Linked DNA regions of Caenorhabditis elegans. The protein of the gene in region 1 interacts with the protein of each later gene in a pairwise test. Each region holds a gene or a part of one and is shown in the gene's direction. Other genes may lie near its edges.

What was found. Proteins that work in one complex are often made in the same cells at the same time.
Region 2: the proteins of uba-1 (region 1) and cpl-1 interact in a two-hybrid assay, tested with the Caenorhabditis elegans proteins (one large-scale study listed by BioGRID).

What each region holds. Positions count from the first base shown.
Region 1 is NC_003282.8:9,989,137-9,996,790, reverse strand, and holds uba-1 (E1 ubiquitin-activating enzyme), read left to right. Parts: upstream 1-1,845; 5' UTR 1,846-1,867; coding exon 1,868-2,062; intron 2,063-3,441; coding exon 3,442-3,581; intron 3,582-3,628; coding exon 3,629-3,932; intron 3,933-3,979; coding exon 3,980-5,062; intron 5,063-5,108; coding exon 5,109-6,290; intron 6,291-6,346; coding exon 6,347-6,651; intron 6,652-6,726; coding exon 6,727-6,859; 3' UTR 6,860-7,118; downstream 7,119-7,654. Other genes in the region: pyp-1 (Inorganic pyrophosphatase 1), read left to right, coding at 1-130, 178-668, 721-887, 932-1,067; mam-2 (MAM domain-containing protein), read right to left, coding at 7,341-7,439, 7,529-7,645.
Region 2 is NC_003283.11:16,592,035-16,597,227, reverse strand, and holds cpl-1 (Cathepsin L-like), read left to right. Parts: upstream 1-1,881; 5' UTR 1,882-1,882; coding exon 1,883-2,140; intron 2,141-2,616; coding exon 2,617-2,715; intron 2,716-3,256; coding exon 3,257-3,704; intron 3,705-4,272; coding exon 4,273-4,481; 3' UTR 4,482-4,656; downstream 4,657-5,193. Other genes in the region: srh-269 (Serpentine Receptor, class H), read left to right, coding at 5,186-5,193. UniProt on the Caenorhabditis elegans protein: Cysteine protease which plays an essential role in the degradation of proteins in lysosomes.

The sequences.
Region 1 (7,654 bases):
CCCTTGTCGGAGACTGCTGTCATTTTGCAAAGTCAAGCTGTGAAAATGAGCACCGGAGCCGGAGATTCAGCAGTTTACGAAGCCGTCGAGCGTGGATCTCTTTATAGTTTGGATTATAGAGTTTATATCAGTGAGTCGAAGCTGCTATAATTATTGGTTCTAATATCTATTTTGCAGAGGGACCACAAGGAATCGTATCTCCTTGGCACGATATTCCATTGTTCGCCAACAAGGACAAGAGAGTTTACAACATGATTGTTGAGATTCCACGTTGGACAAATGCTAAAATGGAAATGGCCACCAAGGAACCATTCTCGCCAATCAAGCAAGATGAGAAGAAGGGTGTAGCTCGCTTTGTTCACAACATTTTCCCACACAAAGGATACATCTGGAACTACGGAGCTCTTCCACAGACATGGGAAGATCCAAACCATGTTGTTCCTGACACTGGAGCTAAAGGAGACAATGATCCAATTGATGTTATTGAAGTTGGATCAAAGGTTGCCGGACGGGGAGCTGTTCTGCAAGTAAAAGTTCTCGGAACATTGGCTCTCATTGACGAAGGAGAGACCGATTGGAAATTGGTCGCAATTGATGTCAACGATGAGAATGCTGACAAGTTGAATGACATTGATGACGTCGAAAAGGTTTATCCTGGACTATTGGCTGTAAGTTTCGATTAAACATTTTTCAAAATACGTTTCATTTTTTTTCTTTCAGGCATCTGTTGAATGGTTCCGCAATTACAAGATTCCAGCAGGAAAACCAGCCAACGAGTTCGCTTTTAATGGAGAGTTCAAGAACCGAGAATACGCGGAGAAAGTCATCGATGAGACCAACGAATATTGGAAGACTCTCATCAAGGAAGCAAACCCATCCTTGAACACGTAGGGATTTCATCGCTTTTAATATTCTAAACTTCAAATTTCAGAGTCTCTCGGGTTCCAGAAGCTGTTCACCAAGGAACTGATGAAGCGGCCGCAACTGCCATTGGCGCTACCCCAGAACATGGAGCAAATGCTCCACTACCAGGAGATGTTGATAAGTGGCATTTTGTGCAAGGATGACTAGTACGCCCTGGAAGCCGTGAAGCATCTTCAAAACTTTAAATTTATTGCACTGTCGCTCCCTGAAATTATACTGACTCCCTCATTCTCTTGTTTTGTTCCAACGTATTTGATTATTTGATTCCTTTAATTTTATATTGTTTTTTTCATTATTCGAAAAACTTTTAAAAATTGAATTGGGGATCTTCTCTGTTTATGTATGTGATGTTTTCTTTTTGGTTTACCACCATACGTGAATTATTTGTCAAATCCAAACAGATCTTTTAAATTCAAAGTTCCTTTGGAAAAAGCAGTGAGCAGAGTCAGCACGAACTCGATAAACAGAAGAAACAATTTAAATTTTGAAAATGCTGATTTCAAACATATACGAACGAACTTTTAAAAATACATTAGAAATATCGAGAAATTTCTTTCGCAAAAAAGGAACACAAACACTACGAGACGACGATAGCGATGTTTTTATGTCAAAGAAGAAAAATGCAAAAGCGCTCTATTTTACTGCTAATATTTCTATGAGAAACTTGGCGCCATTTTCCACTTATGTTCCTTTTTCTTCATTTCGCAAGCGCGCCACTTTTTTCAAATGAAAATCAATAATTTCATCCTTCTAGAATCTTCCACAAACAGTTTGTTTCGCATTTTTTCGAAACGTGCAGTGGTTAAAAATCATTCGCTTTTCAATCTCAATTCTCGCCGAAAGCTCATCATCAGATTCTTCTCTTTTAAGCCACCATTATTCGAACTGCATCAGTTTTCATCAATTAAAAACTATTTTCAGTGGTTCTGATCTTTCGTGATTAATGACTACCATCCTTGAGCTAACATCGGCCAACAAAACTAACAACAAGGCCACCAATAACAAGCTGCAGCGTGAAGGAGAAAACGAATATCCTCCGGCGAAACGATCCAAGACTGACGACGAAGAAGAACCAACAGTCGTAGGAAACGGAACGATCGTCGGAGCGCCAAAGCAGCAAACACTTTCTGGGGTCAATGTAAGTTGAAATGGAAAACTATTTTTAAAAAATCTGAATTAACAATTTTTAATTCATAAGAAGCTTGAAAAGAAAGCTCTCAGAGATTCAATTAATTTAAGAATCCTCGTTTCTTTCCGTTGTTTTGCTATTTCAACAAAAAGATAATGAGTGTTCGCCGAATTTCACTCTGATTTTTTAGTCGAAACAGCAGGTGAAAACCCCATTCAAAATGAGAACTGATTTTTCTACCAAATCACAAGAATAAACGCATTCTCCGTTCGCTTTCTTTTATATTTAATCTTCGTTCGCCCAGAAAATTAGAGGGAAAGTTGCCGTGGCAACCACGCAGAAGCTGGCGCTGATACACTGCTTCGTAGCCGACAATGAATAATAATAGTTGGGATTTTGTTGACGGATAGAAAATACATATCCTTAATGCTTACTCGTATATTCTCTATTTTAATTTAGTCCTTGTTTCATTATGTATATGGAATATATCAGGAAGTATGATCCGGGTTGGCATATGCCCAAAAAGGTAAGTTTTAAGAATATTCTGGAATTGTTTGAAATTGATGTTTTAGGCGTCTACTTTTGTAATCAGGTAAAATATTTTAGAGAATGAGGTTATAAATTGATGACTTTTTCATTAGATGAACTGAGGTGGTAAAATTGTCCCGATACATAATAACAATTTACGTTTTAGTTTCGGCCAGTGAAACCCTGAAAAGTGTATTTTCATTCGTAGTTCTATTTATTTGTTGTCAATCCCATGTTTTCTCTATTTCTCTGCGTCTCTGTTAGTCATCATATTTCCGTTCCCGCTCTTGCTCACTTTTTGTTGTGAAAATTGAATGGTTAGTCGACTTTCTGTATTCAACGCAGTTTTTTTCCTAAGCGTTATCAGTTTCGTAGAGTTTTCCAACTTCACAAGTTATTAGGCCAACGATTGCAATCAATAATGTTCTAGAATGTGATTCGCGCTTTGTTGATCGATGTGTTCGTTTATAGAAAGTTCGGACGAATCTTTTTTCTTCGTCTTCCTAGTTAGGTTCGGATTACGAAAGGACACTAACGGGCGGTTTGACAGTCAAGTTGTTTCTTTGCCTGCGTCTCTCTCTTTATTCTTCCTCGCTCTTTTCAATTTCGCAACGAAGTCATTCAGTTTTTGTAGTTTCTCTTGTAATTTCCCTGTGTTCCACTATGACTTATTTTGTACTGTCGCGCATTAGAAACAAATTATAACTACACTAATGACTCTTTTTTCTACTCCAGTTTTATGAAAACTTGAAAAGTATTTGCCATAAAACTCGATTTTCATGACAATTCAAAATATATAAAATTTCGCTCTAAGATATATTAACATGTCAATTATATCATGTAATGATCTGATTTTTCAGCAGTCTGGAAACGTGAACGTCGAGACGACCAAAAACACTGAAGGACAAGACGGTGAGAAGATGGACACTAGCAATAATGCCGGAGGAGTTGGTGGGAACTCAGATGAGCTTCTCGACAAAAATCTTTACTCCCGTCAAATGTTAGTTTGATTTTTCTATTGTTCTAAAACAAAATTGAATATTTCAGTTACACGCTCGGCGAATCCGCCATGGTCAACCTCCGAACTGCTTCCGTTCTCATTTCTGGTCTCGGTTCTGTAGGAGTCGAAATTGCAAAGAATCTGATTCTTGGAGGAGTTCGGCATGTTACTATTCATGACACAAAGCTTGCAAAATGGTCTGATCTCTCGGCTCAATACTACTTGCGCGATGCAGATGTTGGTCACAATCGTGCTACTTCTTGCTACGAGCGTCTTGCAGAGCTTAATGACAGTGTTAATGTACAAGTATCAACTGATGAGCTCACTGAGGAGTTTGTCAAAACATTTGATGTAAGTTTAAATTAATTTTGTGTTAAAAAACATTTTTTAACTTATAGCTTGTTGTTCTCACGGACGCTGCCCGTACTGCTCAACGCCAAATCGCTGCATGGACACGAGCCCACAATAGACGTATTCTGATTACTGATGCTCGTGGTGTATTCTCATACATCTTCAACGATTTTGGAGACAATTTCCGAATTGATGACGCTACTGGGGAGCAAGTTCGCGAGTTCTTCATTGAGCACATTGATAAAACCACTGGTGAAGTGACAACATTGGAGAATCTTTTCCATGGTCTTGAGGATGGAGATCACGTTACTTTTTCTGAAGTTAAAGGACTTACTGAAATTAATGGATGTGAGCCACTCAAAATCACCGTTAAAAATGCATCGAAATTCAATATTGGTGATTTCGCAGTTTCATTCTCCGACTACAAAGAAGGTGGAAGATGTAGGCAAGTTAAAGTCCCAACATCGGTATCTCATGTTCCATTCGAGAAATCTCTTGTTGAACCAGAATTCGGAATATGGGACTATGCCAAGTTCGAATACCCATCCCAGCTTCATGCCTTGTGGACTGCTCTTTACGCTTTCGAAGAAAAGTATGGAAGATCCCCTGCTCCTCGATCCACTCAGGATGCCGCATTGTTAAAAGAATTGATTCCTTCTGGTACTGAAGAAATCCCAGAAAAGTTGATCGAATTGTTCTCGTTTTCTGCATCCGGAAACCTCGTCACTGTGTCATCTGTTGTTGGTGGTATTGCTGCACAAGAAGCAATGAAAGGAGTCACACACCATATGACACCACTGAAACAATGGCTTCATTTGGATCACGTTGAAGTCTTGCCAGGGGATTGGACTTCTTTCGACAATTCCAAACTTTCGGAAACTGATTGTCAGCCGAGACAATCTCGTTATGATGGACAAGCTGCCGTATTTGGATGGCCATATCAAGAGTGTCTATTCCGTCAAAGATGGTTTGTTGTTGGTGCTGGAGCTATCGGATGCGAATTGCTCAAAAATTTATCAATGATGGGTGTCGCTTGTGGTGAAGGAGGTCTTATCAAAATTACTGATATGGACCAAATTGAAATTTCGAATCTCAACAGACAATTCCTGTTCAGACGCCGTGACGTTGGGGTATGCCTGAAAAAATTTAATTTAACTTCTTAATACTCGTTTTCAGGGAAAGAAGTCAGAATGTGCCGCCCGTGCTGTGACTGCTTTCAACTCGGATGTTCGAATTGAAGCTTTGGCAGAACGTGTTGGATTGGAAACCGAGCACATTTTCAATGACGAATTCTTCGGAGAGCTCAATGGAGTTGCCAATGCGCTTGATAATGTTGATGCTCGGCGATACATGGATCGTCGATGCGTCTACTATCGCTTGCCTTTGCTGGAGTCTGGAACCATGGGAACCAAAGGAAACACTCAAGTTGTTTATCCATATCTCACGGAGTCATACTCGTCGTCTGTCGATCCACCAGAGAAGGAGATTCCTGTTTGCACGTTGAAGAACTTCCCCAATGAAATTCAGCACACAATTCAATGGGCGCGTGAGCAATTTGAAACATTCTTCGCCCAGCCAGGAGAAATGGCCAACAAGTTCCTTTCCGATGAAAGAGGGTTCAATGAGCATGTCGACAAATTAATTTCTGGACAACAAATTGATATTCTTCAAAAAGTAAAAGACGCTTTGATTGATGCTCGTCCATCGTCTGCTGAAGATTGTATTCGTTGGGCTCGCAACCAATTCCAGGAACTCTACCACAACAATATTGCTCAGATGCTTCACTCTTTCCCACCAGATCAACTCACTGATTCTGGAGCCAAGTTCTGGTCAGGAGCTAAGCGTTGCCCGCATGTTCTCAATTTTGATCCATCCAAAGAAGAACACTTCAATTTCGTTTTTGCTGCGTCAATTCTCATTGCCGAGTTATACGGAGTTCAACCAATTTTGGACAGAGAAGAAGTTATTCGTGTCGCTCTTTCGGTGAATCCGGAACCTTTCGAGCCTAAATCCGGTGTCAAGATCGCTGTAACTGACGCCGAGGCTAAAGAACAGAATGAACGTGGAGCTTCTAGCATGATCGTTGATGATGATGCTGCCATCGAAGCTTTGAAATTGAAATTGGCAACGCTGAACGTCAAGTCTACAAGCAAACTGAACTGTGTTGATTTTGAGAAGGATGATGATTCTAACCATCATATGGAGTTCATCACGGCTGCATCGAATCTCCGAGCCGAAAACTATGATATTCTTCCAGCTGATAGAATGAGAACCAAACAAATTGCTGGAAAAATTATTCCAGCCATCGCTACCACCACCGCAGCAGTTGCCGGTCTTGTTTGCATCGAACTGTACAAGGTAAGCGGCATTCATTCTAATGTGATAATTTATAATATACATATTTCCGTGTTCAGGTTGTTGACGCAAACGGTATTCCTAAGACACCAATGGAGCGTTTCAAGAACACTTTCCTAAATCTGTCAATGCCATTCTTCTCCTCTGCCGAACCAATTGGCGCTCCAAAGAAAACTTACATGGACCGAGAGTTTACTCTCTGGGATAGAATTGACGTTCAAGGACCGCTCACACTTCAAGAATTCATCGACAATGTACAAAACCAAACTGGTGGATGCGAGGTGTCGATGTTATCCGCTGGAGCGTGTCTTTTGTTCTCGTTTTTCATGAATGCTGGCAAAAAACAAGAAAGACTCAAAACAGAGTGAGTTGAATTACAAATCACTAGAAGATTGCTTTGTAACAAATGATAACATGTGAAAATTTGTTTTTTTTTCAGAGTGAAAGCGGTTTACGAGGAATTGCTGAAGAAATCACTTCATCCTTCTGTTCACGCTTTGGTTCTCGAGCCAATGATGTCCGATCCAGACGGTGAAGATGTCGAAGTTCCATACATTCGCTACTCTTTCTAATTATTATGATTTTTCAATGTTTGTATGTGTCTCTCTGTCCCCGTCTTCATGAGTCATGCTACTCTTTATCATTTTATCGCTCCCCGTTTTCATCCCCTTTATTGAACTCCCTTATTTATTATTTATGGTTTTAACTTTTTGTATTATTGTGTGAATTGCGATTTGTTTCACGTTCTCCCCGTACCTCATAATCTCTTCTTCCACCCACCCGAGTAATGTTTGAACAATGGTTTTTTACCGAATAAAATGTGCTATGTGGAATTCGAATTTATTAAGTCAAAAGGTGAGACGTCTGGAAGGAACCGGTCATTAAGAATGGATCTAGATTTACAATTGCACATTTTCAGATAATAGACAGAATTATGGCTAGAGAACCAGAATAATTCCAGTAAAGTGAATCATTGAGTCAACAGTACCTAGATATATTCAGGAACTCGAATATGGCATTTTCGGAAATTAAATAACAAGTTGAACAAATAATTTAACAAATAGATTGATCACTTGTATCAGTGAAAACGATTTTTGAAATTTCAAGAGATCCAGATTTTCCAGATTCAGAGAGACGAGATATTATGTAGACCTGTAATTGGAAATTGTTTTGTGAATAATCTCTGTTTGGAAGTTTTAATGTTATTGATTAAAAATCGAAAACATCCATTTCGAACTCACTTTTGTATCACTTGCCAGTAATTCGATATAATCATTTCCTTCTCTTCCTTCGACTTTAAAACAACTTTCTAATTCTTTTGTCCCACTGTCATTACAAATGAATAAATTCGCATCACCCTGTAATTA
Region 2 (5,193 bases), on another chromosome or scaffold:
CCAGAAATTTCATTTTTGCCTTCGAAATAAAAACTGGAAGTTTAAGTATTTCTATTTAAATATGTCCAAATTAAAAAAAAGTTATTTGCATCTAAAAATTTACTGAAACTTTACACTTTTCTCCCGAAAAAAACTTCAATATTCAGTTCTAAATTTCTGAAAATTAAAATTTATTTTCTGAAAACGTCTGAAATTTCAAACTTTTCATATAAAAATGACAAAAATTTTAGAGATTCCTGTGCAAGAATGTCTGAAGTTTCAAAGGTACTTATTAAAAATTCTTCAAAATCTGAATTTCCATATTGAAATTGGCGGCATTTTTATTTCTTCCATGTTTAGAATTGTATGAACTTATGAAATTCTATTGAAAAATACGTAACGATTTTCCTTTCCCGTCTGAAATTTAAATTTTTATGTGAACACGTCTCAAAATCTGAATTTCTTATGGGAAAATATCTGAAGTTTCAATTTTTTTTTATTTGAAAATAAATTAAATTCATTTTTTTACGATTTTTTAGGTGCTGAAACTTTGAATTTTGTATCGAAAAATGTCTGAAAGTGAGAACTTCCAATTATAATTTTTCTTACATTTTTCTTGTTAGTTAGTTGAATTTTGAGTTTTTAAATTACTGAATTTCGAAATTCACGTGCTGAAAGTTATAAAAAACTTCATACGAGTTACAGCATTTTTTGAGATTTTGAAATTTCCAAATTTCGAAATCTCTTTTTTTCCCTATTTCCCCAAGATTAAACAATTGTCGATTTCAAAAAATTGCTTAGAACATCTCAAGTCTGCCATTCCCCACTCCAAAAAAAAAACAGGTTCCCATTATCATTCCTTATTCCCGTAGATTATCTCACCGTCTTCACCAGGTATCTTATCAATAGCTGGATGATTATGTAATTTCTTGCTGATGACATTTATTTTCTCGTTTTTCATTCCTAAGTTTTTTGTTTGGAAATCCTTTAGAATGCGAAACAATTTATTTACATTGTTGGCCACCTGTTAAAGTGACCTAATTGTTTGTTTGTTTTCTGTCCTTTTTCCCCCTGTTTTTTCAAAGTTAATTTTAAAAAACTTGACTCACTTTGTAGTTTGACCTTTGCTAAAAAAGCAGCCGACATCAGTCAAGGACCACTTATAAAATTTTGAGACATTGCTTTTTGGGGCCCAAAATCGTTAAAAACTACCGAATTTCGTAATGAAAAGTTTTGAAAATTTCTGGAAAAAAAACCGAAAAAAAAGTTCATACTTCAAAAAGAGCAAAATTTGATGGAAGTTTCTGTTCCTAACGTCAATAAAACAGTAGAAATTGACACAAATTGCTGGAATTTTGCGGTTAAACTCCAATAATTGACACTTTTAAAAGGCGAACAATTTTCTCGGTTTTGGAAACATTTCTAGCAAAACTGGTAGTTTTCTAAACTTTGGGGGCACTACAAACTACAAAAACCTTAATTTTCTGTATGTTCAATACTTCAAGAAGTTCGGAAACTTCCGCTCGAAAACTTCCGTTTTTCGAAACACTTATCCCTGATCACATGCTTATCTGACTTAACCCTATTATGATAATCATCCAATTTCTGTACTATTCTGAGCTCCTAGCACCGGAGCAAGCACTTTCACCCCTAATTTCCCTCTATTATCAGTTGACTGATAACCTGATGGTTTGATCGCTCTCTGTTTCTCTCCGCCTCTCCATCTCTCTCCTCACACTCGTCCTGGCACTGATTGACGCTGTCCCCGCCTACTTTAGGATCCTTCATAAACTCGCCTCGGGAGGTGTTCATTGTAGTTCCTATTCCATTTCCATATTTTTTCGTGTTTCCCCTGCTTTTTGTAGAATTTTCAAATTAATTTTAAATGTTATAAAATTCCAGAATGAACCGATTCATTCTTCTGGCACTGGTTGCCGCCGTCGTCGCCGTCAATTCGGCCAAGCTGTCCCGTCAAATCGAGTCGGCCATCGAGAAATGGGACGACTATAAGGAGGACTTTGATAAGGAGTACTCGGAGAGCGAGGAGCAGACCTATATGGAGGCATTTGTCAAGAATATGATCCATATTGAGAATCACAACAGAGATCACCGACTCGGAAGAAAGACATTCGAGATGGGATTGAATCATATTGCTGACTTGGTAAGAATATGCATTTCAATGCACCATGAGCTGCGGCGTCCGACGTTTTGAGCTCCGGGGACTCAAATTCTGGCTCCGAGGACCGAAGTCTCTAGCTCCAGGGTCCCAAGTTTTGAGCTGCGGGGTTTCAAAATTCAAGCTCCGGTTCTTAAGTAACGAGCTCCGGGATCACAATTTTTGAGCCCAAGGATCTCAAGTTTGGAGCTCCGGAGTCCCAAGTTCCTAAAGCGAGGATTTTCAAGTTTTCCTTTTTTGCATTTCCTAATTTCGACAGATAAGAAAATAAATACCCCCTATAAAAACTTCAAAAAGCTGTTCTCTGTCTCGTTCCACTATCAAAATCTCACCCAGCGAGAAAAAAAAAGATAAAGATATGAAATCCTCGTCTCGTGACTGACCAACAGCTGGCTTATCACACCACCACACTGACAAAACACACGAAGGTCATTTGATTTTCAAACTCTTGTTTTTTTCAGCCATTCAGCCAATACCGCAAACTCAACGGTTACAGACGTCTCTTCGGTGACTCCAGAATCAAGAACTCCTCCTCTTTCTTGGCTCCATTCAATGTTCAGGTAATTTTTTGAGAGGGGTTTTGTTGGGGTCCAGACACTAACTTTCTCGTCGATCAAAACTATAAAACTATTTGCATAAACAAAAACGTTTTCAACGACCGATAAAAATAATTCTTCGCTGACCGTATTTTTTGAATTATCATCTCTGATGATTGATACGCTTGAAAATTGAATTTCGCAATGTTTTGGTCACCGAAATGTTTAAAAACAAGATTCAAATGGTTAGAACTGTTTTTGCTGAAATTTGAACACCAGAGCTTAGAGCTGTGATGAACTTCTAGGGGATAAGCCTAAGCCTGAGCTTCAGTCTAAGCCTAAATCTAAGCCTACGTCTAAGTGTACGCCTAAGCTTAAGCCTCAGCCTAAGCCTCAGCCTAAGCCTAAGCCTAGGCTTGAAACTGATTGTGAGTTGATGGATTTGGCTCAGTCCAGGAAGAAGTTTGGTCTATGCCTAAGCCTTAGCATAAGCTTGAGCTTCCCAAGCTTTCGGCTAAACCAAACCCTCAGCTTAAACTCAAGCCTAAACCTATTCAATTTTCAGGTCCCAGATGAGGTTGACTGGCGTGATACCCACCTCGTCACTGATGTCAAGAACCAAGGAATGTGCGGATCGTGCTGGGCCTTCTCCGCCACCGGAGCCCTCGAAGGACAACACGCTCGCAAGCTGGGACAACTCGTCTCCCTTTCCGAGCAAAACCTCGTCGACTGCTCTACCAAGTACGGAAACCACGGATGCAACGGAGGACTCATGGATCAAGCTTTCGAGTACATTCGTGACAACCATGGTGTCGACACCGAGGAGTCATACCCATACAAGGGACGTGACATGAAGTGTCACTTCAACAAGAAGACCGTCGGAGCTGATGATAAGGGATACGTTGACACCCCAGAAGGAGATGAGGAGCAACTTAAGATCGCTGTCGCCACCCAAGGACCAATCTCTATTGCTATCGACGCCGGACACCGCAGCTTCCAACTTTACAAGAAGGGTATGTTTTGTGGGAAGATGTGAGGGGGGGGGGGGTACTAGTTTTTATTGACGGGTCAGTTTTATTTGCATTTTGGATGATAATGATAAGAAAGCTAGTTACTCGGGTTTTTCATCAGAGACAGAGAGGGCAATAGTGATAAGAGAACTCGTGTTTTTGAATGATACCCTCTTGACAATAATAGTTTGGGTTCGAACTTGAATGTGAAAGTGGTGAAGGAATTTATAAATTGTTTAGTAGCAAAGTATAACCCCATCAGCCTAGGCCAAAGTCTAAGCTTAAGCTTACGATTAAGCCTAAGCCTAAGCCTAAGCTTACGCCTAAGCCTAAGCCTACGCCTAAGACTAAGCCTAAACCTAAGCGAAAGCCTAAGCCTAAGCCTGAGCCTAAGCTTAAGCCTAAGCCTGAGTCTAAGCCGTAGCTCAAGACTAAGCCTGAGTCTAATCCCAAGCCTAGCTCATAAGCCTAAGCTTAAACAAATGCCTAAACCAAAGCCTAAGCCTAGGCCTAAAACTAGGCCTACAGCATAAACTCAGCCTAAGTTCCACCGAATATCATCCATTTTCAGGAGTCTACTACGATGAGGAATGCTCATCCGAAGAGCTCGACCACGGAGTGCTTCTCGTCGGATACGGAACCGACCCAGAGCACGGAGACTACTGGATTGTCAAGAACTCGTGGGGAGCTGGATGGGGAGAGAAGGGATACATCCGTATCGCCCGTAACCGCAACAATCACTGCGGAGTCGCCACCAAGGCCAGTTATCCATTGGTCTAAATTTGAACTTAATAATTAATTTTTTTTTTTGGAAAATTTAATTGTAGCCCCGAATTGCAATTCTTTGACTCTTTTCTGTCAAGCTTTACCTCGTTTTCTGTATTTTTTTGGAATTTCTCTAATATCTATAATTATGTATTTCAAATTGTGGTGTACATAAACGATTTTTGAATTTAGTTTTGCATTTTTCTGTCTTAAAAACAAGTGAGGAAATAGTAAGAGCATATAATTAGCTCGTAACAAATTTGAATTATAGTTTTCGTTTTCGCTTTTAATTCAGACACCAAGTTGTGACGTCCTTTTTAGCGTGTCTACGCCCCTGCCTGCTTGCCTAGTCAATCAAAGTCCCCCACGAAAAATTAAATAAACATTGCAAAGCAGCGGTTGTCGATTGTTAACCCTCTCTCATTACAAACATTTGCCGCCGCTGTACACCGCGGTTCCATGGTGTAGCGGTTAGCACTCAGGACTCTGAATCCTGCGACCCGAGTTCAAATCTCGGTGGGACCTATGCTCTTTTTTCGCAGTTTCTAACCTCAGAAAGTAGACTGATGTTCTTTCCCAAGGGGTTCAATTTGCACGTATTTTTCAATAATTATCCACCTCTTTACTTTTTCCCCTCGAATTCATTCTATGCGTGTTATTCATCGAGCTATAAGTTTCCCTGCCTCTCAAATATTTTGTTTTAAACTTTTAATCTCAACATGGACAC